2 linked regions of the Arabidopsis thaliana genome follow. The protein of the gene in region 2 interacts with the protein of the main gene of each other region in a pairwise test. Each region holds a gene or a part of one and is shown on either strand. Other genes may lie near its edges.

Region 1 (10,947 bases), on a different chromosome or scaffold from region 2:
CTCTTTTTGTGTGTAACACAGCCTGTAATGTTGCTAGCAATTTCTTCTGAAATATCAATGGACATACCACTTATATTGTTCTATACACTATTCATCTTACAACTTACAAGCTCAGTTTACAATCTTGGTTTTGATTCCCTCCAACTTAGCTATGCTGAATTGGTAAACCCAAGCCAAGACGTTCTTATTATATGTAACCAGGCGCTAATAAGTGTTTTTAGTAGCATGGTGGAGGACTATATATATTCACTCGGGGTTGGTCTCTTGTGTCCCTGGAGCCAAACCAAGATCCGGAACGGCTTCACCTGCAAGTGAAAGTAACCCCAGGTTATAAAACCTTGAGAAGACACTAAATTCCACTAGGAGAATATGAAACGGAAGCTATACCATGCATTCGTTTGAGGAATCTCTCAAACTCTTTGAAGTTTTGAGACTCCATCAGAGTTGGGTTAAGCCTCAGGTAAGTGAAACATGAAAGGTGGCGACCATCAGGATCGGTAAGGGGCTTTGCGTTTTCAAGTATCTTGTTGTAACCTTCTCTGTCATAACAAGGAAGAGCATTTTCACTAGCAACAGGTATACTAGCATCCCAAGCAGCATTCAGCACCTGAAAAAATTAACAATGGAAAGAAAAATTTGGCAAGTTAAGATTTTGGCCTAAACAAATTAAAGCCAATCACTTGTATAAGTTGAAGAAGTTTTGACCTGCCAAACTAGACCTTCTGGATCTGCCAGAGCCTCTGGGAAATCCTCATGTTGATCAAGTGTCCGTAACTCCACACATGTGAAGTTGAGAGCAGCATCATGTTTCTTAAACATTGCAGCTATTGGACCATAGCCATCACGGTTTGAGGAGTTGTAGAAGCCAGCAGTGAGTTCAGCAGCATGACTAGCTGTTTTATACCACCAGTGTATACCTGAGAGCTGATTTCCAAAAATGGATAGACAAACAAATGGTTCTATCAACACAAGCCAGAAAAATATAGTATAATATAGTGCACTAGCCCCATCAATAGAGCTTTGTTTACCTTTGCAGCAATGCAAGTTCCTTCGAAAGCCAAATTTGCCATAGCAAGAACACGATCACCATGGTCAATCAGAACTCTTGAGTACCAATTAAGAAAGAATCTACCATAGTAGCTGTCATAATCGCCTCCATCGCGAAAAAATCCAGTCCCATGTGGTGTTGAATTATAAGTCTCTGTGTTATCAGGTCCTCTGCCCCAAAAGCTGTGGCCTCTTACTTCTGCAGCCTCCTTTAAGCTATTCATCAAATATTTATCATAACACTGCGCAGATAGGACAGCACAGCAGAGAAGATATATCGGTAAGTAAACTAATAAATTAGTTGTCCAAATAGCAATGTAAGATAATAATGTAATTTTGTATACGCTTATGATGCGTCAAAAAGATTACCTGGAATTCACCAATACCAGGGTATTTCCACCCAAATTGTGCAGGGTATGAAGGATACCTCAGCTCCCCACATGGACCTAGTCCAACTTCAATTTCAGGGATGATTTTCTCCTCAAAGAATTCATCAAATTCCACACGAAAGCTTCTCATGTAATCAAAGTAAACCTACATAACAAGTGATTTCATAGAGTCAGTAAACACTTCTTATTACAGATCAACTTCTCATTCTTCCTACTACAACTCGCTGCAGATTACATTCTTCGAATGATAATTTGCTACAGATTTTTTAGCATGGAGTAGTAGAAAGCCATACCTCAAGAGCAGTCCGTCCTCTTAAAACACGTTGCTTGTCAATTCCCCAAGTAAGGCATTCAGTGTTACGCCTGCCAGCACTGTCAGTGAAGTAGATGTCAGGATTGCTTTGACCAATTTCTCTCACCCACTCAGGGATTTGTATATGCACATCATCTCCAACATTGCCTCCACATTCGTGAAACGACATAACAACCTGAAGTCAATTCAAGTCAAGAACACTTTAAAAAGGTTCATCCTCAACTCTGCATATCTTTCACTAAACTGAACTGAGACTCATCGATCAAATAACATTACCTGAATCTTAAGTCCAAGCTCACGAATCATCTGAAAAAGTTTCTTGTAACCACTCCAGTTATAAACCTGTGGTGTATGTGACTCAACAATTCCCCACCAGCAGTCAACCATAACACCATCAACATTAACCGACTTTAAAGTTCTTAACTGATCCAAAAGCTCCTCCGGTTCCACCACTTCCGAGTTCATATCAATCACTCCCAGCTACATCATTCAACAGCCAAATCAACCAAACACACACACAAATCTCTAGCCAACAAAAATAAAATCAAAAGAAGACTCACTGGTAGCATAACATATACAGGAACACACGCTGTGCCAGCAAAATCACGCTCTTCGAAATGCACAATTTCTTCATCAACCTAACAAAACGAAGAGTAAAATTGATTCTGGTCACAAACGAGTGAATCATCCAAATGAAATTCCACACTTACGAGCTGATCAGTAGAATCGTCGTCGTCATCAATTGGAACTCGATCTTCCTCAGTACTCTCTGCTCTCAGTTTCACCTTCGCGAGAACCAAAGGCCTAGCACCGGAAAATGTAGAAACACCACGCCAATCTCCAACGCTGAACGGTAACGAGCTCCGAGCCGATACTCTCGTCGGAGCTCCAAGCTTCACGCTCACTGGAATTACACTATGATTCAACCTAATCGCCATCACTAAACCAAAATTATCTCAAATTCAGTTAAAATTGGATTTTCGTGGAATGTGAAATCAAAAGCCACGTGAAGGCTTATTCATGGGATCCAAGAATCATTGGTTGGTTCAAATCAATTTTGAAATCCTAAAAAAGTTTTCAGGATTCACTCAGATCCGTTGAGTACAAAAGGGTTTTGTCTTTTACCACTTTTTTTCTAATCCACGTGGCGTGACCTGACACGTCAGATAAGTACGCGCGTTGCAACTTTATCAAGGGGCTTTTGTGAATATTACTATGGGCTTTTCAGAATATATTATTGGGCCTGTAAAGTCACGTCACTAAAAAAAGTAGTTTATCTACATCAAATGTGTTTATTATTTAATAACTTTAGTGTGTTGTTGTACTTGCACGAGTGTATATGAATTTAGAATAATACTATCTTAAACAATCGGCTAAGCTATTTATAATCTGTAAGATTGATACTAACGATGTAACATTAATGTATTAATCCGAAGACAGTCGTGCATTGTAGTGGCAAATGTTGTATGTCAGATGTGTCGCGTCTGTAATCAATGCGCTACGTCTCTCTGTCTTAACAAAATCATTGAAGCTTTAAATTTGAATTTCATTATTTTACAATTGCATTTCTCTCGTAAGTCGTAACTTTCATATTCATTTTTTGAAGATTTTTTAAGGATAAAATGTGAATTACTATTACCAAAAGAAACATTGTTATTTACTTTGGGACAGCTTCTAGATATGGACCCCAACAAAAAAAAAAAAAAAAAAAACTGAAACTAATACAAGTCAAGACCCAACTATAGTAACTAGGTTTGGGTGAACCATTGGGACAACAATCTTCCACAACCTTTGCGATATTGTCACGGATGGTTATGTCAATCTGCCACAAAACAATCTTAGGAGAGAACTTGAAGTGTTGTGCAATCTCTCATTTCTTTCTCTCCGAAGAAAGAAAATTGTTGCTTGTATAATGAGAATTAAAGACTTCAAGTTCTCACTCAACTTTAAATTTATCTAACTTTTCTCTTTGTCGTGGTTCATGTCGCTTCTTTTTCATCCTGAATGCAATTTGATATAGGATCCCATTGGTTAGGATTGTATATGTTTTGTAAAATTTAGGGTAATATATAGACTTTTATACTATAATTTTATTATTATATACATTTAAAAAATGTCTAGGGCATCTAAAATTAAATTAATTGTTTCTATGAAAATAGAAAATATAAACACAAACATATGGCTATAATGAGTGTGTTGTGCCAACAGAAATAATTTATAAAATTAAACACAAAGTTTTGTCGTTATGGAAATAAATGTGCATGCAACCACAAGTGGTGCGTTACTAAATTATGTAGGGCTTCGTGGATAGAGATGGATCAATTATTATTTTCACGAGTTTCTTGCCTTCATTTCAGCCAGCTCTCTCCTGATCTTGCCTTCAATTTTATTACTATTTTTTTACTGCCACTTGCTATATTTACTTACTTCGGACAAAATAGTGCTTTGATGGTAAACAAATAACGATCGGTATATGCGATGTCTCGCGATTGATTATCAAACTTGAACAGTAGTGTGTATTTGTTTAATATATAATCTATTAGAGTATCATGGAATTATTCGGGTGAAATGCGCATTTATATCTATCATAGAAACTAGAATCTTCACTATCCAAATAGTATATTCCATTTTCTTGCAACTACGTATAACTACATTCTGTTTGTCATATATTTAAGATCGAGTAACAAAAAATTAATCATCTTCATTGATGTGAGCCAGACAAAGAGTTCAATTTTTTTGGTTGTTAAAGTATGTTGATACTTGATACGTTTACCAAAACACAAAAAAACAATGTAGGTCGATACGTTCCATTTCCACACAACAAGATAGATACAAATATATAATGATTGTAAGACAATAAGACCCCGACATGTCTTAACACGAAAAAAAAAGTAACTAAGTTTATATAAACCAACACAAGTTTAACTAAGAATCTAAGAATCTCTACTTTGTTGATTTCATAAGTGTATTCATCTAAATTAGTTATAAGTACAATGTAATATCAACATGTATTTATATTGTCTCTTGTTGGATATTAACTATCCAAACCAAACCTATAATATGAAATCATCAAAACATTAATCATTATGGTCAAACTATCTCAAGTTGTATTCTTTAAAAAGTGTCACGATAAACTCTAACATCATAGTGGATTTAAGACAACACAAATCCAAAAGAGTTAAAAAGATCGGTCTTAAATTTATGATTCATATCCATGCATGATGTTGGCCAATCACCTAGTATAGTAGTAATAACCAAGCTTTTGACTAAATGAATAGGAGGAAACAAAAAAACTATATTGAATCTTTCTTTTTGCAATATTTTTCAGCATCATCACTAATTTAGAGAATATTTTACCTTGGTTTTCACCAAATAGAATCCAACACTATTACCATATGTATTGTATAAAGATAAGTCACTCCAAAAACCAAGATCATGACCCAAGTCAACCACTCTCTCTCATAATTCAGACACAGTACTCAACTTTAAAGACACTCTTTTAAGACTTTCCATCAGGACCAAGCTGAGAAAGAGAAAGCAATAAAGAAAGAAAGAAAAGGAAATAAAGCTTCAATACCAAACCCTTCTTTAATAAATTTTGCCTTTTGGTTGTCTCCTCTTTATCAATCACTTTGGTTCCATACTTTTAAATTCAGTTCTTCACGATATCTAGATATGTCTTTGACAATGGCTGATGGTGTAGAAGCTGCAGCAGGAAGAAGTAAAAGACAAAACAGCTTATTAAGAAAACAACTTGCTTTAGCTGTAAGAAGTGTTCAATGGAGCTACGCAATCTTCTGGTCGTCTTCACTTACTCAACCTGGGTAAGTATAATCTAATATTCATCATGTACCAAAATTATCAGATCTTGTTGTTCTCATCTTTGCATTTCCATTTTCTCTTCTTTTAAATCTTGGGTTACTTATGAGTACTATGTTCTACTAATTTAGGGTTTTGGAGTGGGGAGAAGGATGTTACAATGGAGATATGAAGAAGAGGAAGAAGAGTTATGAATCTCATTATAAATATGGGTTGCAAAAAAGCAAGGAGCTTCGGAAACTTTATTTGTCTATGCTTGAAGGAGACAGTGGTACTACTGTTAGTACTACTCATGATAATCTCAATGATGATGATGATAATTGTCACAGTACAAGTATGATGCTGTCACCAGATGACCTCTCTGATGAAGAGTGGTACTATTTAGTCTCCATGTCCTATGTCTTCTCTCCTTCACAATGGTTTGTTCTCTCACTCTCTCTCTCTCTTCTCCTATGAATTTGTACACTAAAATATATTAGCTCTTGTGAACTATTCATATAGAAAAACCAATTTGCAATAAAGAAGTAATGAGAAATGTCCTTTCATTTTAAGATGAAACATCCATCACTTTGGGTAAAGAGTTTAGTACCACCAAAACCATTTGGTAAATAGTGGAGTGATTATTCCTTTGGGGTTCCTTTTTGTTACACTTTCACCTTTTGCATTTTAAGTAATCCTAGATTAAGTTTTTTTTTTCTCTTTTATGATCATTAATTATTGTCATTTTGGCTTTTTTGGTTGTTTATGTATATACTTTAGTTTGCCTGGAAGAGCTTCAGCGACGGGTGAGACCATATGGCTCTGCAACGCTCAATATGCGGAGAACAAGCTCTTCTCTCGTTCTTTGTTAGCAAGAGTAAGTTCTCAGAAACTTCTAATTTCCTCTTCTTGAATCTTGATATATCAAGATCGAATCTGACTAAAAATCTCCTTTGATCTTCTTTGCTTTTCATTACTGTTCATATGGCTTCTCTCCTTTAGAGCGCATCAATTCAGGTACGTTATAATGTTTGTTATAACTGGATTCTGATTGTTAGAAATAAAAGTTTAGTTCTCTTATTGTTAGAAATGAAAGTTTAGTTATCTATATATCAATTTGGATAGAAGATTTATAGAATGTATCTGTGTTGTTATCTCCAGACTGTTGTGTGTTTCCCTTACTTGGGCGGAGTCATTGAGCTGGGCGTCACTGAATTGGTAACTCTCCATCTTAATATATAAAGTTTTACTTTTGTTGCTTGCTTCACAAGAATTAAATATACCTTACTTTGTTTAATTTTGTTCATGATCAATGAAAGATTTCAGAAGACCATAACCTGCTTCGAAACATCAAATCTTGCTTGATGGAAATATCTGCACACCAAGACAACGATGACGAGAAGAAGATGGAGATTAAGATCAGTGAAGAGAAGCATCAGCTTCCATTAGGTATTTCTGATGAAGACTTGCATTACAAAAGAACCATTTCAACAGTACTCAACTACTCCGCAGATAGATCAGGTAAGAACGATAAGAACATTCGTCATCGTCAGCCAAATATTGTTACTTCTGAACCTGGCTCAAGTTTCTTGCGGTGGAAGCAATGTGAGCAGCAAGTCTCGGGTTTTGTTCAGAAAAAAAAGTCACAGAATGTGTTGCGGAAGATATTGCATGATGTCCCTTTGATGCACACAAAGAGAATGTTCCCAAGTCAGAACTCTGGTCTGAATCAAGATGATCCTTCAGATAGAAGAAAAGAGAACGAAAAGTTCAGTGTCCTTAGAACTATGGTTCCCACTGTCAACGAGGTAATAACTCTTTTTCTAAATCCTTAGAGACAAGACTGTGTTTCAGAAGCCAACACTCTGTTTTGAATCTTTGTGCAGGTTGATAAAGAATCGATACTAAACAACACAATCAAGTACCTGCAAGAACTGGAGGCAAGAGTAGAAGAGCTAGAATCTTGTATGGGATCAGTTAATTTTGTAGAAAGACAAAGAAAGACGACAGAGAACCTTAACGACTCTGTGTTGATCGAAGAGACATCAGGGAACTACGATGATAGCACGAAGATCGATGACAATTCAGGAGAAACCGAACAAGTCACTGTTTTCAGAGATAAGACACATTTGAGAGTTAAACTCAAAGAAACAGAAGTTGTGATCGAAGTAAGATGTTCTTACAGAGACTACATAGTTGCGGACATCATGGAAACTCTGAGCAATCTTCACATGGATGCTTTCTCTGTTAGATCTCACACGCTCAATAAGTTCCTCACATTGAATCTCAAGGCCAAGGTAAATTAATCTTACTGATGTTTGGAAAAGGCAGATTTGGGTTTTCTTGACTTACACGTAACGTTTTTGGGTTTATGCATGCAGTTTCGCGGGGCTGCAGTTGCGTCCGTAGGAATGATTAAGCGAGAGCTGAGAAGAGTCATTGGTGATTTGTTTTAATGTTCTTCTTAGTAAAAATTCTTATATTTTCTTAAACTTTTGATGAAATGTTATATTTATCTAGACTTTCGTGAACCGATATGCGATGTGCCATTATCTTTACATCAAGTTTTCAGGGTTTTTGTATGTAAAGTTTGCCAAAGTTTGGTTGGAATTTTCGACAACGTTGTCTCTTCCTCTTCTACAAAACCAAGATCTATACTTATTCATAATTCATGGGCGATTTGTATCTTTCATTAATGATTGTTTTGAGCTATTATATTATTTGTATTGATAGAAAAAAATAACCAATTGGCTTTGGCTCAACTTCTTTCCCGTGAAGAGGATGGATCATATACATATCCTATTGTAATTTGAATGAACCCTATTGGGTCAAGGATCATGATCTCATGGGAAAGCTAATGAGCTTTATCCACCTCAAAGCCAATTGGTTACTAATGCTTGAACTAAATCTGTCTTATATACTAGCTAAAATTTCCATATGTTTCCGATGTGGGATTTGTTAAAGTTACTAATGCAATTTTTCTGCCGACATTATCATAATAAGTTGTACCTTAAACCTCAAGTAATTGATTTGGTCCTCATAGGCTATTAGGTTTAGTGGGCTTTTGGGCCGTATTAAACCCGTTTGATTAGAAAAGCTAGCGCTCGCCAAAAGCCCTAAACTTGTCTCGTAGCCTCAACCTCTTGATATTATGCTTCGTTTAGGTCGTCATGTGTGATTCTGTGCTTCAGTTTCTTTCTAAATCCTTAAATAAACGGATTGATATTTACTAAACGGAGGATAATGTAACTTGAAAAGGTATTTATTGAAAACTGTTGATTCTTTCTTGAATGCATAATTAATGGTGTTCTCTTGTAACTCATAGAGCCTCCAAAGAAGTAGTAAATGTTATGGTGCGTTATAAAATTTGATTGTTTCACTTGCATTATATATCTCCAATTGATGCAGCCTTCACGCTAATTACCATACACTACTTCTTAATTTCTTAAAGTCTTTTGAGTATTTGATTTTCTTGGATGTCACATATGAAGAGAGGGATATTGGAAGTATTTCTCATTGATGCTCATGGAATCACACACACAAATTTTATCGGTGATTATGAAAAGACAAAACCTTCTTCATATATGTTATATATCAAACTAAAATCGTTATTTTTAATCATTTTGGTTTGTAGGAACTCCTGTGTATTATGTGCTCTTACAATGTGGGACAAAGGAATACCGTAGCAAAATGTCAAAAGGTTCAAGTTTTGTTACTCTTTAGTAATTTTGTTTTTCCTCTTAGCCAAATGTATATTAGAAAACATTTTTGGCTCTTTTATGAAAAAAGGTGATAATGACAATGCATTGTGGAACCAAAAGTTTGTTTTCGATTTCCCGATGTCTCAATGGAAGAAACTGACCTATATCAAATTAAGAATCTTGGACAAAGAGCTCTTCAATGATGGTGGATTTGTCGGTGAAACCATGTAAGTTTTGCTTGCAGAAACTGAAGTTAATGTGGTTTAGCATTAGCAATATCACATATAGTACCATCCTTTTGTTTGTGACTCTTTTTGGTACAGAATTCATCTCGGAGGCATAATAACCGAAGGGCGTGACAGAGGATACATTGAAATAAAACCAGCTCCATACAATGTTGTTCTTGAGGACGATACTTTTAAAGGTGAACTAAAAGTCGGATTGAGATTCATTGCAACAGTAAGTAACTCGGTAACTATCCTAGAATTTCATGAGAATCTTTGTGGAGACTTATTAATCTTAGGTTCATCTTTTTACTAGTACTTTTTGGTGTTTGAGCACATTGAAATATTCAAGAACATCGACAATAACATATAATCTCAAAATTTCTCAAGAAAATTTATTTATTTTTGTAGGATAAATTGCAGAGGAAAGCATGGGAGCTGAAGATGGAGGCCAAAAACAGTGAAGAACTAATGATTTCTCCAATTCAGAATCTGATGAAACTCCCATTACTAAGGTTTCTGCTCTATTGCTTTCGGAAAACAAAACAATATCAACTAAAAGAGAACTAAAATGATTAAAAGGGTTAGCATCAAAACTCTATTAAATTTTGTTTCCAATAATTTTCTATGGTTCGGGCCTGTCAAGGAAAGCGATGACATTTATTTGATTTCTAAGTTTGTGCAAACATTTTAGGTTTATAGCTGCATGGGCAAGAAGGCAATGTCTCATCAATGCAAAACTACTTTATTGTTTCGTCGACTATAAGAAATGCCTTACTCCTTATTCGTAGCTAGGGTTTCTCGATCAACCCTTTCACGGTATCGTGATGGGCAAGAATACGAAACTGTTGATGACTTTAATCTTTTTCACCTTCAATCTTTTAATGTAATGAATGGTCTACATTTATATCTTTTGATGTAACATTTTTCTTACTTTCATTTAATTTTTCAACCCATATAATTACTAATTTTTTGCTACCTAGTTATATGTATGCATTGTCTATACTCCTTAGTTCACTTTCTATTAACTAAAATTTGTTGAATATGTTAGACATACTTATATTAAGTTTATTTTTAAAATATAAGTATATGGAACATATCTCAACAAGTAAATAAAGGTGTATATGTTGAAACTTATTAATATTGTATAATATCATAGTCCATAGTACACTAAAATAATGACCCATAGATTAAGTAAATGCGTAAAATGCGTGTACAACGAGAAAATGGGACGCACGTCTGTCTAACGCACGAACCATGCAAATATATACTTGTCTTCTCCATTACATTAACTTATCATGTGCTAAACTAAATTATAACTATACAACTCAAATTGAAACCATAATACATTACACTAATATAAATATTAACCTATTATGAGTTGCGGTTCATCGTGTAGGCTACATGGGGATAAGCCAATCTCCAACCATGTGATAATTGGTCTAATTTAATAAACGGTTGACACATAGAATTAA
Region 2 (9,325 bases):
TGAAAGTCTCAATTAAGCTCTTAACCATTCAAAGTTAGCCACGTGTAATTATTGTCATTACTAATACGTAGATGTATACAAAAAAAAAACGACTATATGTTATTGAATGGGTGTGTTTATAAAAGTAAAGCTGTGTTGTAGTTCGTCATTAATATTAGTTAATTCACAACCAAATTCGGTCTCTCTGTTTTCAACATAAATTGGCGGTTAATTATTTACTAGGTAATGGCCATACTATTGTGTGAGCAATCTTTACCTTTTACAATTTTAGAAGTAAAGTTTAGATATGGAGTTAAATCCAAAGTTATACATTAAAAATATAATCTAATATATATATATATACATACATATATATAAAACTAAAATTCAAAATGATAAAACAAAATCTTTATAAATTTGACTATAAATACTAAAATTTAATATATTTCAAATTTTAATATAAATTTTATCTTTATTTATGGAATTAAATCTGGCATATTACTAGAAATCAGATAGTCAAAAATTGTTTATTATTCTGTTTATTTATTTACTATAAGATAGATACAACTACTATTTTAAGCATTACTATTATACTTTTTCACTCATTTTCATCCTAGTTAATTATTTTTTTAGCTAAGGTAAGGAAAACTTGATTTTTCTGGAAAGTGAATCATTTTATCATAAATAATTTGTTTGTGTCAATGACTTGCACAGAACTGAGAAGGATGGGAAACGAATCATATGAAGACGCCATCGAAGCTCTCAAGAAGCTTCTCATGTAAGTAAAATATTGAAGATATTGGAAACTTATAGAAGACTTTTGTAAACTGAGAGACTGATTACATATACTAGTAATTGAAAATTAATAGGATTTTTAAAAATTGAATTTTATATCACAAAAATATACGAGCAGTGAGAAGGATGATCTGAAGGATGTAGCTGCGGCCAAGGTGAAGAAGATCACGGCGGAGCTTCAGGCAGCCTCGTCATCGGACAGCAAATCTTTTGATCCCGTCGAACGAATTAAGGAAGGCTTCGTCACCTTCAAGAAGGAGAAATACGAGTAATATAAATATTGTGCTTTTAATTTTTGTTATAGTTAACATACATCCACTATAATAACATAAAATCAAGTCATCATTTGAAACTTAATGATATATATTATAATTTCTTTGCAGGACCAATCCTGCTTTGTATGGTGAGCTCGCCAAAGGTCAAAGCCCAAAGGTAAAACAAAAATAAGAAGAAAAATATATAAAGCAGTTGATGAAAAATATAGTTATCTCTATATGAATATGTTAGATTTTTCTTTTGGACTCATATTATATGGTCATATACTATGAATTGTGCAGTACATGGTGTTTGCTTGTTCGGACTCACGAGTGTGCCCATCACACGTACTAGACTTCCATCCTGGAGATGCCTTCGTGGTTCGTAATATCGCCAATATGGTTCCTCCTTTTGACAAGGTAAACACTTTATACACTACATTAATTTACATCGCTAATTTATTCTTGAACATTCTGACTCAAACAGAGTGTTTGACTTTGATTTTGACTTATGAAGTCATAACATGGCTTTTCTGTTTTTTTTTTCCTTTATAAAAATAATTACAGGTCAAATATGCAGGAGTTGGAGCCGCCATTGAATACGCTGTCTTGCACCTTAAGGTCAAAATCTCTCCCTCAATAATCAATATATACATTCTTCTCTCTTTAGATTGTTTTGTGTTTTTTCCTAAAACTTGCTTGACTCATAGGATGCATGTTAGTTTATATGTATCAATGTTACTTATTACTCCGGTTAAGGCGATGAGTATATGGGCCTTATTGGGCCGTTCTGTATTTAGTGTGTTGTGATTTATGTGATGTGAGTATATTATCCATCAATACATATGTTGATGTTTATTGAAAATTTATGAATGTAGGTGGAAAACATTGTGGTGATAGGGCACAGTGCATGTGGTGGCATCAAGGGGCTTATGTCATTTCCTCTTGACGGAAACAACTCTACGTAATAAATTTTCTATGTTTGACATTTATAAACTAGTAAATTATAACAAAGTTGTTTCACAAGATTTACTTTTTAGGAGAAATGGTAACAAAGTGTTTTTGTGGGTAGTTATAATGATATGTTTACTTTAATTGCAGTGACTTCATAGAGGATTGGGTCAAAATCTGTTTACCAGCAAAGTCAAAAGTTTTGGCAGAAAGTGAAAGTTCAGCATTTGAAGACCAATGTGGCCGATGCGAAAGGGTACGTAATACTCCATTTATTTTTTCAGTTAACACTTTATTTATTCATTAGAATCATAGATAGTCATCAACCTTAACAAAAATATAAATATTGGATAATTAAATTATCTTTATCGGAAATGTTTTCTAATATGAATGTATGAATATTGCAGGAGGCAGTGAATGTGTCACTAGCAAACCTATTGACATATCCATTTGTGAGAGAAGGAGTTGTGAAAGGAACACTTGCTTTGAAGGGAGGCTACTATGACTTTGTTAATGGCTCCTTTGAGCTTTGGGAGCTCCAGTTTGGAATTTCCCCCGTTCATTCTATATGAACTAACACATCACCATCACCATCGCTACCACCACCATCACAAACATCATCATCGTCGTCATCATCATGATCAGCATCTTCATATATAAATGTTTTACTCTTATTTAATTGCTACTTGTAATGGTATACATTTACTTGCGATGAGCTTCTTTTCCTTCATTATCCAGTTATAAAATAAATAAATAAATCATGTTTACTTTCACAGATATCGTTTTGCTGAAGTTGCTTTGATTTACAACACGAGAGAATAACAAAATCGTATAAATTTTATTTATTTGTCAAACGAAAATTTGAGAAATGGAAATGTTATTTTGCTATTTTCATTGAATGTTGCGTTGTACTATCTATATTAAAAATGTTAAAACCGTTTGTCTTGATTAGAGATATGGCTACTATAGTATACATTAAGATTGATACTAACCTCTTCATTTCCATTATACTTATACATGACCAACATGTCCCCATGTCGATAATCGAAAACCTTCCTTTAGAATTAGAATATATATACTACTATAGTTTCATGCATTGTATATAACTGTCTGAGCAATTATAATCAAGGAAGGAGTGGGGGACAAGCTTTCAAAGAACATATTAAAAACCAAAGACACAGAACATAAATTAAACTATTAAGAAGGGGGACAGCTTTGTCATAGCAATTTATAGAATTTTTTAGGGAAGTGTGACAATTTGACCCATTATATTGTCTGACTAGTATTAATTTTGTTCGTTTCAAGTAAACTCGCCAGGGCAATCAAGGTTTCTGTCTAATTTCTCGTTTACATACACATTAGCATCGTTTTAACTACAATCGAAATTTAGTTGACAAAAAGGTACGTAGTAGTATCCACTTAATTGGAAATTTCTTCTTTTCAAATTTGAAGATTAATTAAGGGACGTACGTCTCAAAGTAAAATAAAAATAAAAATAAACTATACTCCTTCTAACCTACCGTTATCGTTCGACTCTTTTAATTTTAGCTTATATCTTGAACCAACATTTAATAAGATTATATGAACAATTCACAAAAGAAAATCCAAAATTTTGCTTAGGAAGAAATTGAAGAAACATTTAAAACATTAATCGATGCATATAGAGTTTTTAAGCATATACATTAGAGTTAACCCAAGAAAGTTCACCTAATTAATAGACTTAGCCAATCATACACTACCACATCAACAACTTTTAATCTAAGACTGTTGATGTATTAGTGTTTGATCAGCTTTGAAAATAACAAAACATAAACGAATACTAAAATAACAAAAGCAGAAAACACATCAAAAACAGTGTCCATCTATAAAGTCCATCATGTTGGTGAGTGTGCTAAGCTCAAACTCATCCTCATGAACCCAAAGTGAACTCAAGTAGTTACTTCCTTGATGATCTTCTTGAATTTCATCTCCGAGGATATTATTGTTATCGACAATATTCGAGATTTTCGTTTCTTCTGATGTTTCGGTAGGATTCGGGAGATTGATTTGATAAACAATATCACCATTGCTCTGTTTGGTTTTCTGATCTTTGATTCCGAGTTTCTTACTAAGATGCGTGTTCCAATAGTTCTTCACTTGATTATCCGTTCGACCCGGCACTCTTTTAGCAATTAAAGACCACCTAATTAAACACACAGATAAACAATATAATTATCATGTGAAATATAATGTATTGAAATTTTGAGAATAAAAACATGTGTTACCAAGCAAGTTTGTGAAGACAATCACGAATATTTATGATTATTTAACTTGATACAAAATGGATAGAAATAGCTGTTTTTATGATTAATTGAGTAGAGAAACTAATTTTGAGCAAATGAAGTTATACCTATTACCAAGCAACTTGTGGAGCCTAATGATAAGATCCTCTTCTTGCTCGGTGAAATTGCCTCTTTTCACATTAGGGCTGAGATAATTCATCCACCTCAATCTACAACTCTTTCCACATCTCTTTAAACCTAACACACATATACAATTATTTAACTGAGGACCTTAATTCATAAAAATAAAAACAACAAAAAGGTGACCCTAGATAAATATCCTGATTCAAGTTGCTTTTGCGATATATGGACTCTATTAACATAGATTAAAAGTTAAATCTAAAATAACATATATAATATATAGAACCTTAACTTTAAACCATTCGTAAAAGAAAATCATGTGACAAAGAATTCATAAATTATGTCAATACGATTAGAGAGAGAGATAGAGAGGAAAGAGACCAGTCTTTTTGGCAATACGATTCCAGTGACCTTTGCCATGAGCTTTGACATAATCCATGAGGATTTTGTCTTCTTCTACTGTCCACAAACCTTTCTTGTACTCATTGTTTCCTTCGTCACCACTACTACTTACTTTCTTTCTCATTCTTTTTGTTTCTTTGAATGATAGACGAGAGAGATCATAAAACGAGAGAGATAAAGAGGTTCTTTTGAGTAGTTATTTGACGGAGTTATTAATAGTAGTACTACAAGTTCAGAACCTAGTGGAATATTTATGTATAAAGTATGAATAATATTTAATAAACGATATACTATTGGTATAAATACAAGTATTAATGATTATAGACTTATTTTAGATATTGACATAAGGTATTGATTGTGTCTAGCATGTGATGATGATATGTAAATAATAATGGACTTCTGAGATGCAAGCTGGTAATTACTGATACGGATTAGTTTAATGACTTAATCTAGATTTCTAACTAAAACATGAAAACATGGACCGGTTAAGATGGTCTTGGGAGACACAAAAATCACGTGTATGTTTTAAAAAGATTCGGCTTTGATCTTAGAGCTTTTCGGCATCGAAGTTTCATGTGTCAGGGCTAGTGTTTATATATCTTCTTGAACCTTGATTAATTGAAATGAATCATAAGTATTTTTCTTTTTTAAGAGATATTAGACCGAAAATATCAGGGACACCATTATAGTTAAACTTATGAAACCCAAAGTGTTTTGAGACCATTGCAAAAGACTAGATACACATCGCAAATATAAAGGAGGTTGTGAAGGTTCTTGCCGCAACCCATTGGAAGGTGAGAAGGATAGTAACTGGCTGGCTCTCATAGTTCCATCAAATTTTTTATGTATTGTTTCTCAACTAACCATTAATTATAATAGTGTTGTTATTTTCATCAAGTAATAGTAGTTGTTCGTTTTGAAGTTTAGATACTTTATTTATGAGATACCAAGTTTATATGACATCCTTTATCAGAAAATACATTGATTAGAAAATGAAATGCCTCGTCATTTTTTATAATTATTTTGTAGAGTGATACCCTTGGACCAACGTCCGGGAATCTTGGATTAAACGATTTCCTAGAGTTAATTTTGTAAATTTGGTTACTAATTAAAAAAAGAAAAATGTACAATAAGTAATTGATTAGTGGCATGAGAGTTAGGAATTGTAGTTAGGGGAGATATTCAATTAGAAGATGGTTTGACACTTTGACTCTCTTGGGATTAGGATTCTTCACGGGGAAAAAAAAACAGTGTTATTGTTAGAAAGAAAGAGAGAATAGAAGCTCCTTCTCTTATCATTAAAATTTCTTGATCTCTGTGCCCCCACCAAATATCTTTAATTTACGTATAGATACTATTACTATTGATTATTGAATTTATAATCACGTATATTGTTCATATTTTTTTTCTGTCACATAGCATGTGCGATGGATATTTGAAATTTCCAATCTGTGTTGTAAGCAAATATTAACTTTGTTTGAAAAAAAAGAATTTATTTTGTTGATATTTTTGCTATTGTACATCTTGTTTTGCTGACTTATTTATTCAAGATTAACAAAATGATTTTCTTTTCAGTAATTGACTATATCAGTAATCTTATCAGCAATATGACAAACAATAATAATAAGATCCATAATTAATATTTTGCATCCATAACTAAGAATTAGAGTTTTCTGCATACAAAATTCGAATGATCTATTTGGGCATATCACATATCCAATGATACTTGTACATGGTTTTTTTAAAAAAAATATTTCTTCCTAATGAAAGAAAAACAGAGGCAATGATATTTTGATATAGCTGGCACATTTAAAATTCTAGACATATTAAACTCTTAACGCTGGAAGTTGAGGCAATATATAAGAGGGGTAGTAATTTTATATACAACATTTTATTGTCATAACTATATAAGAGGAGTGTGTATTTTTACATATAAATGTTATAATTAATTATGTCGTAGAATGTATGATTGAGGAATTTGATGGACCTAAGTACCTAACACTCATTTATTCACAATCTTATCATTTAATTTTGTTTGATTCTAATATCAGGTTTGATATTCTATACATGGCCAAGGAATTTGTGATTCACAAGTTTACCATCTTTTCAAAATCATGTAATGATTTATGCTACGAACTAAATGATATATTTAAATAGACTTTATTTATGTTAATTATATAATATGATAAATATAGCTAATTCTTATTGATACTAATTATATTGTTGAGGTTCTATCATTAATTTACGTGGTGAAACTGCAATTTGATTTGCGGAAATGATCTTATATCATTAGAAGGAACAACTAGGACACTGCTCTTTTACATATGTGCGAGTTTTACCAATAAGATATTGACTAACTACGAGACGAACATTAGTATTTGCTAATGTGTTTCGCTGATTTTCTAGGTTTTAGTCGTGACGTGAAATTCAGTAAGAAGCACAACGAAATGCCATCGGCTCATGTGTGTGAAAAAATTAAAAATTTATGGGCTGAACAATTCTAATTGCATGATGATTCGGGTTTAATTTAGGCCTCTGGAAAATCCAGGGCTTATTTCCATGCAAAATCTTAGGTCAGTATTGGGCCCGCCTTTCAAAAGCCCAATTTTAATTATTCGTTTTTGTTGTCCGATAAAAAATCCAGAAGAAGTCATCTCTCCCCTTAAAAACGGTAGTCAAAACTAAAAGACTCAAAGTGATTTCCAGTAAGTTTTGTAGAAAATAAAATAATTGTGGCCATTGGAGATTTAGCAAGGCTCATGGAAAAGTGATTGTTCTTTTTTCCCCATGATTCTAGTTATAAGGCCATCCTTGATGCATACATCAACACCATGACTGGTCCAAAATAGCATAGGTCTAAAGATGATGAAGCAAATGATAATCAGTTTATTCCGATAGAAGCAAATGAGGATGTCATCAATTGTGGATGTTATACCTGATTAGTTAAGCAAACCATTAGCACTATGTTTAGTTAGAAAAGAAGGAAATTATGATAGCCATAAAAATGCCAACATTTTCCCTTTTAAATTGCATTCGTGGTTTTTGAAATTTTATTATTTAATTAATTTGTTTTCTTTCAGTTGTCATTTGAATGGTTATCATAATTCGGTCTTATATTATTGATTTTTATTATTCGTTAGGTTTTTTTCAGTTGTCTGATGGAAAATTCAGAAGCCACCACTTACAAATCAAAAGTATAAAAAAAGACTCAAAAGAAGACTCCAAAATCCAAATAGTTTTTCTCCATTTTTTTTTTCTTTTTCCAGAAATTATAGTTATAGAAATAAATAGTTGTGGCCGTTGGAGATTTGCATTGGCCACGAGTCATGGAAAAGTGAATGTTCTTTTTCCATGATTCTTCTAGTCGGTCATGCTTGGTGCATGTATGAACACATATTTAAAGTTCTATACAAGTTGTTAGAATTCTTTTAAATTTAATTTGCTTTATTTATTTTTTTAGTTTTAGTTTTGGAAAATCATGGTCACACATCTTGAGCTACCGTTGTTATTTATATATAAATGTTCTTAATATTAAAAAATTATGAACCACAGGGCTAATAAACTTGAATATTTGTAGGGTCAATGGCTTTATTAATGTGTATATTTGTAGAAGAAAGCTGGGAAATATTCTATAAGTAAATTATCATCTTATACACTAATTTTTTAAAAATCCACGCCTAGTAATAAATTCCAATTTTTTTTAACTCAGTAATAAATTCCATTTTTTATTAAAAGTTTATTTCATAGAAGTACTTTTTTTTTTATGTGATAAAAGAAAAACTGAAGAAGGCCAATGAAAAATGAAGATCCCAAAGACATAAAAAGTGACAAAAGAGAAGAATAAAGAAAGACCAACAACACCACTTGGGGGAGGCTCCCATACACAAAACGAAGGCGCGAATTTCAAGGACTCTTCTCGACGACCAAACCACATAAAACACTCTTACCAGAATTTGTGTTGTCTTCGTTCATTTCCTTCTCCTCTTCTTCTTCTTCTTCGTCGTAATTTTGATTGTTTCTTTGCGAAAAGTCGTTTTTTTAATCAAGTCTGAATCACGTTTTATTGATCTACACTCGCGTGGGTTCTCCGTTTCGTGCTTAGATCAGAGAGCTCCCTCCCGTGATTCCGTAAGATTTCTGCGTTTCTCATTACTTGGTTTCATTTCAACGTAGATTCTGAATTTTGTGTGATCTAGTCTACACATTTTTTTTTAATTCTTTCCTCTGCTCCTAAATTCCAGAATTCAGACAACGGTTGCGATATTTCTTATGTCTTTTTTTCTATCGTTGTTCATTTCAGAAGTTTCGATATAAAAAAGGTTATTGTTGGATTTTGAGTAACACATTGTCCTCAATTCTCATCGTTCTTCAATCAAATTTTGGATTTTGAGCATCATGGATGATGGATCTATGCATTTTGATTTTATATTGTACAGAAAGAATGTTTCTTGTTTTGTTTTGATGATGTTTTCTTATGACAACAATCTTCATGTTTTTGTAGGAGCTTTAAGGTCGGAAATGGCGGCTCATGTTTCTACTGGA

What was found.
Region 1: the proteins of MYB66 (region 2) and ATMYC1 interact in a two-hybrid assay, tested with the Arabidopsis thaliana proteins (2 studies listed by BioGRID, with this or other methods).

What each region holds. Positions count from the first base shown.
Region 1 is NC_003075.7:214,162-225,108, reverse strand, and holds ATMYC1 (basic helix-loop-helix (bHLH) DNA-binding superfamily protein), read left to right. Parts: upstream 1-5,327; 5' UTR 5,328-5,424; coding exon 5,425-5,573; intron 5,574-5,699; coding exon 5,700-5,987; intron 5,988-6,327; coding exon 6,328-6,424; intron 6,425-6,549; coding exon 6,550-6,564; intron 6,565-6,708; coding exon 6,709-6,765; intron 6,766-6,866; coding exon 6,867-7,355; intron 7,356-7,433; coding exon 7,434-7,844; coding exon of another isoform or gene 7,845-7,853; exon of another isoform or gene 7,854-7,875; intron 7,876-7,928; coding exon 7,929-7,989; coding exon of another isoform or gene 7,990-8,003; exon of another isoform or gene 8,004-8,067; coding exon 8,068-8,243; 3' UTR 8,244-8,297; downstream 8,298-10,947. Other genes in the region: BAM2 (beta-amylase 2), read right to left, coding at 247-305, 388-607, 706-924, 1,029-1,289, 1,417-1,581, 1,730-1,924, 2,026-2,229, 2,310-2,387 and 1 more; AT4G00467 (Calcium-dependent lipid-binding (CaLB domain) family protein), read left to right, coding at 9,033-9,099, 9,182-9,247, 9,337-9,475, 9,572-9,707, 9,884-9,987, 10,167-10,263. UniProt on the Arabidopsis thaliana protein: Trancsription activator, when associated with MYB75/PAP1 or MYB90/PAP2.
Region 2 is NC_003076.8:4,759,832-4,769,156, forward strand, and holds MYB66 (myb domain protein 66), read right to left. Parts: upstream 4,993-9,325; 5' UTR 4,908-4,992; coding exon 4,763-4,907; exon of another isoform or gene 4,499-4,762; coding exon 4,369-4,498; intron 4,162-4,368; coding exon 3,825-4,161; 3' UTR 3,541-3,824; downstream 1-3,540. Other genes in the region: CA2 (carbonic anhydrase 2), read left to right, coding at 694-757, 893-1,042, 1,158-1,206, 1,332-1,448, 1,596-1,649, 1,907-1,992, 2,130-2,235, 2,387-2,551; AO (L-aspartate oxidase), read left to right, coding at 9,302-9,325.